Ovis aries: one gene and its partner. Each later gene encodes a partner of the first gene's protein in a complex. Links are inferred from orthologs where the notes say so. Each region holds a gene or a part of one and is shown in the gene's direction. Other genes may lie near its edges.

What was found.
Region 2: the proteins of NMUR2 (region 1) and NMU are in contact, whole or in part, in a cryo-EM structure (PDB 7XK8), measured with the Homo sapiens proteins. The link is inferred for Ovis aries from reciprocal best matches to the Homo sapiens genes NMUR2 and NMU. Residues at the interface, in NP_064552.3 of Homo sapiens: Ser42, His43, Gly98, Glu102, Glu105, Met106, Trp107, Arg108, Asn109, Tyr110, Pro111, Thr123, Phe126, Glu127, Asn181, His185, Pro199, Ser201, Thr203, Cys204, Val206, Tyr213, Phe284, Arg288, Phe291, Glu295, Trp297, Ser298, Glu299, Ala302; in NP_006672.1 of Homo sapiens: Glu146, Phe152, Ala153, Ser154, Gln155, Gly158, Tyr159, Phe160, Leu161, Phe162, Arg163, Pro164, Arg165, Asn166.

Annotation. Positions count from the first base shown.
Region 1 is NC_056058.1:61,405,910-61,411,569, reverse strand, and holds the start of NMUR2 (neuromedin-U receptor 2), read left to right. Parts: upstream 1-1,883; 5' UTR 1,884-2,045; coding exon 2,046-2,762; intron 2,763-5,660. UniProt on the Homo sapiens protein: Receptor for the neuromedin-U and neuromedin-S neuropeptides.
Region 2 is NC_056059.1:71,781,783-71,787,503, reverse strand, and holds the start of NMU (neuromedin-U), read left to right. Parts: upstream 1-2,279; 5' UTR 2,280-2,377; coding exon 2,378-2,486; intron 2,487-5,721.

The DNA of each region.
Region 1 (5,660 bases):
TAAAAAATATTTTTAATGCATCACATTAGTTTAAGGATGAGATGGTGGCAATGAGAAAGATGTTATTAGAGGCTGGAAGAATCCATAGCGGAGGCTGATGAGTTGTCGTTTGATTTATAGGTCTCTGGAACGAAAGGAGCCACATACAGATCTGACGGAGGGCAAACCATGTGTGTACATATTGTTCACAATAGTGCCTAGGAAGAATAAGTGCTCAATAAATATGAGCTATTGTAATTTTTTGAAAGCTTTACATAGTTGCCACTTGTACCCCCACATCACATCCCCCTGCCCCCCTGATTTCTACTCCTATTCAGACACAACTGTAAAAGTCTAGGAACTCTGAGTGGGTCGTGGTTTTCTATCCATCAGATCTGCATGTGTCTTCTCCTGTTCCAGATACCTGTAAACTAAAGAACAAATTATCAGTCCCCCACCACCACCACCATGGATCCTTCCAGCCTCTAATAGCATCTTCGTCACTGCCCACTATCACCCTTAGACAAACGGCATGTATTTTATTTTGGCCCACAGCTACAGAGAGTAGCCCTGTGCTTGTTCAGATTTACCTCTGTTGATAGAGTTACACAGTGAATTCATTCTGCACGTCTATTTTCTTACCCATAATATGGAAGCCTGTTCAATCCATGGGCAAGAACAGTCCAGAGACATAAGGGAATTATTGCCCCCAGGAGCAATCCTCCTGCTCAAAACTGTCCATAGATTCTCTGCGGCTTGAACCAGATCCAAAGTCCCTGCAGTTTAAATAAGATCCAAACTTATTATCAGATCCTAGAAAAATGTATATAATATGGTCCCTTCCAGTCTTTTCGATCTCAACTCTCATATTCTCCTGTCCACTCATTAAGTTCCAGCTGCAGTGGCCTTCTTGATGTTTTTGAAACACATCAAGCTCATTACTGCCTCAAGACCTCTGTACTTGCTATTACTTGTTCTGGGAATACACTTCCCTTAGCTCTTACATGATTGATCTTTCATCAGTCAGAACTCAGCCCAAATGACATCTTGATTAAAAGAAAGAACAGCTGTAGCCTTATGTTTGTATGGCCCCTTTTCTTCACAGCACGGATTATGACGTGCAACTCTATTAATTCACTTATTAGTTTGCTTGGGCATTTTCAGAAATCTCTACCAGAAGAAACGTTCACATGGGCAGAGACTTCATCTTGTTTGTTCACTGATGTTGCTTCAAAGCCTTGAACACTCCTTGGTACACAATAAATCCTCAAGAAGTATGTATTGAATACAATAACACAACTCTTCAGTTAACAGATAAGAAAATGTAGATCTGAGAGTTTGAGTTACTTTCCCAAAGGTTTACAGAATTTCTTACAGGTGTGCCTGATTCTAAATCCTTTTGCTTCAGCAAGGTACTGTCAAAAATGAAGTGTCAGAAAGCAGGCAGGGCTAGGTGATGAGCAGGTGTTGGATTCTATCATGGAGGCAATCAAAGCCAAAAAGGCATACTGATCACACTTTGCCCCAGGAGCCCTGAATTTTCAATGGAACAAGATACTTGAAAAATCTATTGATCTCCCATTTTTGTTATGCTGTACAGGTGACGAGGATTTGTACTTTTCTACGCACAACGTTGCAACCTCAATTTGTATTTCCACCCAGATTCCCACAACTTTGCAGAATGCACTGCTCTGAGTGCCCACACCTTACCTAATCTAGTGCCACCGTTTATGACAGTTCTGCGTTCCCAGCTCCTTCCAATTCAGAGAAACGTCTCCCCTCCTCTCCGGCTCCCTGCTCAGGAAACCAGCGCGCCCCACCCAGCTGCCCTCTCACTGAACGTCTGACAAGTGCATTGGCCCACAGCCCGCGAAGGGGCGGGGCTTCTGTCTCGGGGGCTCTTCAAAAGGGATCCGAGGTCTGAGCAGTTTCTGAAGCACTAGCCCTCTCCGGGCCTCCTTCCCCAAGCCTGTGCTTTCCTGCCTGCTTTCTTTTTCTTTTCTGGCTCAGCTTGGGAAAGAGGCTTATTCCCGAGGAGGCTCAGGTCTTGCATTTTAATAGCAGTTATGGAAAAACATGAGAATGTTTCCTGGATCTACCAACAGGAACTGGAAGATCCCTTCAAGGAATACCTGAACAACACAGACGACTACCTAGCTTTGCTCTGCGGGCCTCGTCGCAGCCACCTCTTCCTCCCGGTGACTGCGGTGTATGCTCTGATTTTTGTGGTGGGGGTCGTTGGCAATCTCCTGGTGTGCCTGGTGATTCTTCGACACCAGACGATGAAGACCCCCACCAATTACTACCTCTTCAGCTTGGCTGTCTCCGACCTCCTAGTCCTGCTTCTCGGGATGCCCCTGGAGGTCTATGAGATGTGGCGCAACTACCCCTTCCTGTTTGGGCCGGTGGGCTGCTACTTCAAGACGGCCCTCTTCGAGACCGTGTGCTTCGCCTCCATCCTCAGCGTCACCACGGTCAGCGTGGAGCGCTACGTGGCCGTCCTCCACCCGTTCCGGGCCAAACTGAAGAGCACCCGGCGCAGGGCCCTCCGCATCCTCGGCATCGTCTGGGGCCTCTCTGTTCTCTTTTCTGTGCCCAACACCAGCATCCACGGCATCAAGCTCCACTACTTCCCCAACGGGTCCTTCATCCCAGGCTCTGCCACCTGTACAGTCATCAAGCCCATGTGGATCTATAATTTCATTATCCAGGTCACCTCCTTCCTCTTCTACATCCTCCCCATGACGGTCATCAGTGTCCTCTACTACCTCATGGGGCTCAAGGTGAGTATCCAGACTGGCTGCAGTCCTTAAGGTGGCGTTCCTTCTGTTTTCTCTGACTCAAAGTTCAGAGAAACACTTAGAACTGGAGAAATTCAGAACTGGAAGGAACCTTAGAGAAAAACAGGGTGAACTCAGAGGGGAAATTCAGAAGCTAACAGACTGGCTTTCAGTTGGACAGACAGTAACCACAGCTATAAATCATTTTCCTTAACTCACTTTTCATCATTCTTCCCTCTGTAACTGTGGTTCTCAAACCTAGGTATTCCTACAAACCACCTTGAAACTTTACTATGGGAACTGATGTGTGGGTCCCTTCCTACAGAGAAGTCTGATTTAGTAGGTCTGGGATAGAGCTTCATTTTAAATAGCACAAGGCAGCCACCCCTGGAGAGACTGTTTCATACCCTGTGGTCTCTTTCCTGCCCTCACCTGCTTTGCCTGCACTGAAATTTTCCTCTGCACCTACTTGGTCTGAATATAAAATAAACTATCCCTGTGTAGTTTATCGGAGAAGGCAATGGCACCCCACTCCAGTACTCTTGCCTGGAAAATCCTATGGACACAGGAGCCTGACTGAGCGACTTCGCTTTCACTTTTCACTTCCATGCATTGGAGAAGGAAATGGCAGCCCACTCCAGTGTTCTTGCCTGGAGAATCCCAGGGACAGGGGGAGCCTGGTGGGCTGCTGTCTATGGGGTCGCACAGAGTCGGACATGACTGAAGTGACTTAGCAGCAGCAGTGTAGTTTATACTCCAAGACAGATATACAGTTTTAAAGTCAGATACTTCCTTGTGGTGGTTGCTTTGATCCTTTCGTAGAAATATCAGATTAAAATGCAAAAATATGGCCTGAGTGAAATCAACTGGACAAGTGGAGTTTGAAGGACAAAGAGGTAAACAGAGTGCCTAAAATAGATTAGAAGACAGTGTGAATAAGATATAGCTGGAATTAATAGAATATTATTACTTAGTTTGCAACATTTTATAATTAGGGTTTACCTTCATGTGCTCATGATGATAAACTTATTTCTTTTTTTTTTTTCTTTTTTTCTGGATCTAAATTATCTGAAACTGTTGTCTTGTTTTTAATGAAAGGAGAAGTGAGTCTGTATGATTCCTTTCCTGGTATATTCTGCATCAAAAATCACAGAGAGGAAAACTAAACATGACAGTTTTATACCCATTTAAGGAGGTAGTTATGTAGGAAATAGTCATGAGACCATTTAGACTCCGAGTTATGAAGCTCACATATAAGATGCCTTTAGGTAATGTCACACAATTCTCTCCTGGAATTAGATTTTGTATTTATAAAATGAGAAGTTTACATCAGATCTTATGTATTAGCACTCCTGATCACTCTAACAGTCTGTGGTTCCTTAAGAAAAGGAAAAGGAAATCTTTGAGTGGGAGCAATGTGAGTTACAAATGAAAGGAAAACAAAACAGGCATCACATTCACATCCTATGTTGTAAGATGGCTCTGGTACCATGTATTATGTGGTAATTAATATACTCCCATCTCAGTGCATCTCTGAGAAAGTTGTATGTCAAAAATGAGTGTCCCACAGGTGGTCCTTTCGAATGAATACTGTGCCTAAAGTGAATGGCAAAGTCGAAGGTGGAAGAACAGATTTTTCAGTACACAGGAGTAAATCTAATCAGGCAGAGAACTTTGCCAGTCTCCTCCTGGTGGACTGGCCCCTGTAATTCCAGAGACATGTGCCAAACCAGACTAGCTCACAGTCACCATGTCTTTAGCAAGCCCTGTGCATCGCACTGTGGGGAAAGGACTTCTGCATGATTCCATGAGCCCTATGAGAAATGTCCACCCCAAATGTACCAATACAATCTCTACTAACAGTGAACCATCACTTGTCTCAGGTTAAATTGGAGGAACTATCTAACTCTGAATAGGAAACACATGTTTCCCTTTCCAAACAATTACTTGAAGTGTCGCTTTGTTGTGATGTCATGAGTCTACTGCTCCCTGGTTATCAGGAGCTATGTGATAGATAACAGCTGAGAAACCACCCCAGTCTGCTTTGTGTATACAGTGCAACTTACAGCATCCTATTCTCAGGAAGGATGAGGTGTTACCCAGAGGACACTGGAAAGGAACTATATGCTTAGAATGTCTCTTCTATAGGAATTTAAAGATTTCTAGACTGGGAGTCAAAAGTAGACCCTAATCTGTGGCATTGATCTCAAGACCTTTGCACCTTTTGCTGTTTTTTTTTTGTTTTTTGTTTTTTTGTTTGTTTGTTTGTTTTTGCCGGAAACATCCCTACTGCCCACCACCACAATCCTTTTTGCCTTTCTAACTCTCACATATCCTTTAAGTCATACTTTATTCACACTTACTCCGGGAAGTTCTCCCTGATTCCCTAACTGCCTGGTTCCCCTGTAGATGCTCATGATTCCTAGCAATTTCCCATCATTGCATTTATCACAATTTATAATTCTATATTTGTGGGTTCCTTAACTTCCTCTCCAACTAGACTGTAAGATCAGTGAATGAGTGAATGAGCCAAAATTATTTCCTTTATTGTTGGACTTCACCTTCTCTACCTTCAAAATAGGAGACATGGAAATGTTCTCTCAGAGGGCTTTTTTGATCTGAAAGATTTTAAAGAGATTTGTTCAACTCTGATGAGTACTGATTCTCATGGCAAATCTAAAGATATGACTGAATCTGGACAAATGCCTTCAGAAGGCAGAAAACCAAGACTGATGAAATCCCAGGAGCAAAAGAGAAGGAAGGGAGCCATATGAGGGCTCAAAATTGACCACTCAGAGATTCTTCATCATTCCAGGACTCAAGTCTCCAATGAGCTGCTCTCTATGGTTCTAACATGATGGAGATGGAAAATAGCCAATCCCAGGGCAAGTCCCTCCCCAT
Region 2 (5,721 bases), on another chromosome or scaffold:
CAGGCTTCTCTGTTTTCATTGACATCTCACCCACGAAGGCGGCTGAAATTAGTGATCTTTCAGTGTGCTTCCAGGAGATACAAGCAAGGCAGTGGGAAACCAGAGCCCCCTCCACCCACCCACATCCTTACTTCATTTACATCCTCTGTACTCAATGTTTTTTCACTACTTTGGGAATAAATAAAAGCACATGCAATCTTAAATCTATTCTCATCCATCTTTGAACCAGGACCAGACTCCATATAATATGGCCTTGCTCACGTGTTTCATGGATATAAAGAACTTTAAAGTGTAGGCATTGCTTTTTCACTCTATCAGGGTTACTCTCTTGCCTCTCTGTATTTATGACAGAGCATTATCCCATTGGCCTTGTAATACAGCTATTTGAGTATAGATTTGGGGTCCTTTATCAAACTGTAATATCCTTTAGGAAGACTAGTAAATGTATCCTTAAGGACATGCCTTGCCTGTAGTGGACTGTACAGTGCATGTCTGATACATTAAAATCCCTGATTTAGAGGAGAAGCATCTTTACAGAGTAGAATGACCAGTGGCTCCCTCACATGCTGGTATCTCTCTCTATATATATGTATATAAAGTCACTCAGTCGTATCCAACTCTTTGTGACCCCATGGACTATACAGTCTATGGAATTCTCCAGGCCAGAATACTGGAGTGGGTAACCTTTCCCCTCTCCAGGGGATTTTCCCAACCCAGGGATCAAACCCAGTTCTCCCACATTGCAGGCAGATTCTTTACCAGTTGAGCCACAAGGGAAGCCTGATATCCTTGGGTGGATTGTTTAATATCTCCAAGCTCATCAAGTGAGAATCATAATAAAGTACTTTCACATCCCCGAGATGCCATGAATATTAAATGCATAGCATGGGAAGGTGCCTGACATAAAGATGTCCCTTAAGAAATGTTAGTGTATTTCCTTTTCTACCCTTCCCTCAGCGTTCCTTTCAAAAGGAGGTCAAATAAGATCCCTCTTCCTTGTTTCTGGAAGAGGAAATTAAGGCCACATCAGCTAGTGCGCTGGAGAAGTCTGTTTCATGGATATTTCCCCCTAGGAAGGAAACTGCAGAGAGGGATAATAGAAGTCAGGTCACTCTGGAAATCAGAATGCAACTGCTAGGAAGTGACAGCAGGAGAAATGCACAGAAAGGAAGGTGTTACCTTGAGGCTTGCAATTCCGCAGGAGAGTCAAGACCTTCCAGAACTTAGAAAGGTCTATGTGGTCAAGCCTCAGCAGTCCTTTTTTTTTTTTTTTTTTTAACTGTCTTTAACAGACAACTGCTTTCCCCTAAAAGATCTCAGACCTGATAGGAATTTGGGGAACACCATCCCTGGTGCCTTAGAGGGTAAAGAATCTGCCGGCAATGTGGGAGACCTGGGTTCTATCCTTGGGTTGGCAAGATCCCTTGGAGGAGGGCATGGCAACCCACTCCAGTATTCTTGCCTAGAGAATCCCCATGGGCAGAGGAGCCTGCCGAGCTACAGTCCATGGGGTCGTAAAGAGTCGCGATTGAACGACTAAGCACAGCACCACCTTCCCTGGTGGCTCAGTCGGTAAACAATCTGCCTGCAGTGCAGGAGGCCCAGTTTCGATCCCTGAGTTGGGAAGATCCCCTGGAGAAGGAAATGGCAACCCACTCTGGTATTCTTGTCTGGAAAATTCCATGGACAGAGGAGACAGGTGGGCTGCAGTCCATGAGGTCGCAAAGATCGGACATGACTGAGCGACTAACACTAACTATCCACCATGAGCCAGTACTGCTCTAAGATTCCCTGGGCGTGTACCAAGAGCTGGGGATGAACAGGGCAACAGAACAGAAGTGCTTGCACCGAGGTGGCTCCTGGAGCTCTGGACAAGAGGTGCCGCACAGTCGGGTGGGGCAGAGAAGGCTTTCCGGGGAGGGTGCAGACGGGTCGTCTCTGGCAGAGCATCGCCACCACCAAGTGTAAAAGCCGGGATACCAGCCTCTGCTGGCCGCCTGGTTTGCATTCCCCTCCGGCTCCCCTTCAGTGCTTCCAAAGAAGGGAATAGACATGCTTCATTTTAATTCTATGACCCTCCATTCCAGAGACCCTAGGGCGAGGAGGGTGAAAGATGCATGGTACCCTGAGTCAGAAACTCGTGCATGGGGTGCGGGGTGGGGCGGGTTGCGAGTGACGCGAGGAAGGCCGGGGGCGGGAGGTGACGCGCGCGCGGGGACCTAGCCGCCTCAGCTCACGTGTCCGCGAGATTTAAAAGTTGGCAGCGCGTGGGGCGGTCTGTCTGGACGCGGAGCCGGGAGAACAGCGCGCCGGGGACGCGGAAGCTCAACCGGAGCACTGCTCGGAGCGCGCGGCAGGTGCAGCGCAGGGTCCCGGGATGCTGCGAGCCGCGAGCCGTCGCCCCGAGCCGCCGGCGGGGCATGTGGCCGCCGGGTCCCCGCTCCTGCTGCTGCTACTGCTGTCTTGTTGCGCGGACGACTGCGGAGGTAAGAGGACCCCGCGCCCCCTGGGACACCCGCGCCGCGTCCAGTCCAGTGCCTCCTCTCCCCGCTCCGTTCCTCGATCTCTTATCTCCTTTTCTCGTCTTTACTCTTGGCTGGTGGGATTTGCCACACCTTCGTGCCGCGGCGCACGGGTCGCCACCTCAGGGTAGCCAGGGCGCACGTGTCTGTGGCCCGGCTCGAGCCTGGACCTGGGCCTGGGGGAATCTCGCAAGCCGGGCAGCCCCCTCAGACTCGGGATGTCCAGCCCGCTTGATTTATGGGTAACGGGAGTTAAAACAGTGAAAATTAAAATGCTCTTCCTTTGATTGCAATTACTGGAGGGATTGACAGTGAAGCAAAACTAGAGTGGGTGTGATGCGAGGTCAACTTGGAAAGTGCTCACCTTTCTTGGTGAGTGAGCTCCAGGACTGTTCAGGCAAGCCTGAGCAGTAACAAGCCCCTTTCTAGCAGAATGGAAAGGGAGAGCGTGGGCTCTGTGCTTCGATAGTAACAAGGACTTCTGTGCCTCACTTAGAGGAAGTGAAAGTGTTAGTTGCTCGGTCGTGTCCGACTCTTTGAGACCCCACGGAGAGTAGCCCGCCAGGCTCCTCTGTCCTTGGGATTCTCCAGGCAAGAATACTGGAGTGGGTTGCCGTTTCCTCCTCCGGGGTATCTTCCCGACCCAGGGATTGAACCTGGGTCTCCTGCATTGGCAGGCAGAATTCTTTACCATCTGAACCACCAGTGAAGCCGTGGCCTAGAGGGAAGATGGGGGGAAAGCAAAAGCAAGGTCTGGAAGGGGTGTCCGAATCTTGGGACTTGGGGTAGGGTAGATATAACCTGTTCCAGTGGAAAAGATCACTTCCCTGCTCCCTTAAGGTTACCTTTCCAAGTAGCCTGAGGGGACCATCCCTCATCTCCCAGCTTTGAGCTAGGGCCCTCCTGGGCCAGCGGTAGCCCTACTAAGATCTTGAATTTTCTAGATCCGCAACGGGTCCCCTTAGTTTCCCTCTGCTCTCCTCTCAGTCCTGTAAGGGAGGGCCGTTTCATCATTGTCCGTAATGTTAGGACTTGAAGCGATTAGTGTGGGAACCTTCCCTAACCTGTAGCCCAGCCCCCTTTTAGAGGTGGGGGAACTGACACATCATTCTTTTCCTAATAGAGCTATTTTTATTGCTGTCCTTTCATTGTTTTCCCCCTTTCCTTGGGGCATTTGAGATTCAGAGAGGTGGGGACTCCTCGGCTTGAAAAGCAGGGTAATTTGGTTGTGAAATGTAAGCAGTAGAAGCTAGGAGACCTAAACCTTCTCCATTGCATATTCAGCAGCGATACAGCATGCCTTTTGCAAAGTCACGTTCATCTTTTTCCGTTTTAAATTTGTTATTGGTAAAATTAAGATGGTCGCTTTTATCTACCTTATTCAGAAAGCAGATGGTCACAGTTTAATTTTTTCTCTGCGAAGCAAATATACTTTCCATGATGTTAAGTACTATATGCTTGCAGTGAATTTTGCATCAGTGAGAGAGAACTTTTAGCAGGGAGATACAGGGGAATTTTCAGGCTACTGGTGATTGGGCAGAAACTACAGGAAGCAGCAGCCATTTTCTAAAAACAGCAAGTTTTGGGTGTTGTTTCCAAAAGAGGGTATCTACTGGTTGACCAATCATCTCTTAAATATCCCCACTGTTTCTCAAGTTAAGGGATGAGATACCTCTTTCCCTACACAGAAATCCCCCTAGACTACCCTTTTGTGTCTTCTTTCCCCTTCAGACCTGCTGTTAATACTAAAAAATTAATTTTATCTCTCTAAAAATGTGATGAGAAGGGAAGAGGGTGCATTTACTCTCATCTGATCTGCCCTGGTGATCTGCTATATTCCTGAGCCCTGACAATTAGCACTGGAGGGGAAGCTTGACATACAGAAGCGAAGCCGGGAGACAATCCACCAAGGTTAATCATTATGCAAGGTGCAAGTGGATGTATCAAAAAAACAAAGCAAATGCCACAAAGCCGGGTCGGGGTGGGCGGGGTCGGGGGGGGGCCGGAATTGTGTCAATAAGTGTAGCATCCTCAGCAAAAATGTGTTAGCAGAGCTGCAATGGCAATAAAAAGGTAAAGGGCCAGCCACAGAATTGGTGGCTGGAAACAGTTTACCATTCAAAGAACATTAAAATGAAGACAGAAATTTCCTAAAAGAGAGGTACCTTTGGATATCTGCAACAAACTATCTCTTGACACGGCCTCTGACAAGAAGTGATGAAGTGCTCAAGACTAAATTAAGAAGTGTCTTTTCCTACTCATGAAATAGTTCTTGAAATTCAGTCAGCAGTAATGATTTCTGATTTCCAAATCCTACACTGGCTAAGTACTAGCAATGAGAAAAGATAATGGACACTACTTTTAGAATAGCAGGATCTGCTTTTCTTTCTCTTACACATGGTATATTTACAGATGCCCAAGCTGTTGATCCATATTATTTGCATTAGTTATATTGTTCAGTATAAAACGAAAGATTTCCCGTTATGAGATAGTGTTAAATATAAGTGTCTTGAAATTGATCAAAAATAGTGCAGTTGTTAATACAACATTGTAAGTCAACTGTGTGTGAGCACTTAGTTGTGTCCAACTCTTGGTGACCCCATGGATCGTAGCCCACCAGGCTCCTGTCTATGGAATTTTCCAGCCAATAAAACCGGTGTGGGTTGCCATTTCCTACTCCAGGGGATCTTTTGGACCCAGGGATCAAACCCAACATTGGCAGGCAGATTCTTTACCACTGTGCCACCTGGGAAGCTCTACTGTTAATAAAAGTCCTACTTTTAATAAAAATTAAAAGCAAAAACAACAACAAAAAAATCCAATGCTGTTTTCAGGATATAGAAGAGAGTGGCACTGTCCTGACAGTATTTGGGAAAGTGTCTAGCACTACTATTTGATAATGTAAAGCCCGCATCCTGGGTATGTTGAGAGGAGAAGGGCATCAACTTTAGTTAACAAATAGACAAAAGGCACATTTTTTCCTCTTATGTTTGGATTCAGCCATAGGATATTAATGCTTTTCTACAAATTATAGGTAAACATTTAAAAATTCTGGTTTCTCTAACCTTTCTACCCTGAGACTGTGCTTATGTGTTTTGTGTAAGAGCCACAAAGTATCCCTTTTTTATTATAGAAATACTTGGGACTAAGTTAGACAGTGGCAGTTTTGGTGTGGCCCGGGCCAGCTTGGGGACATGGA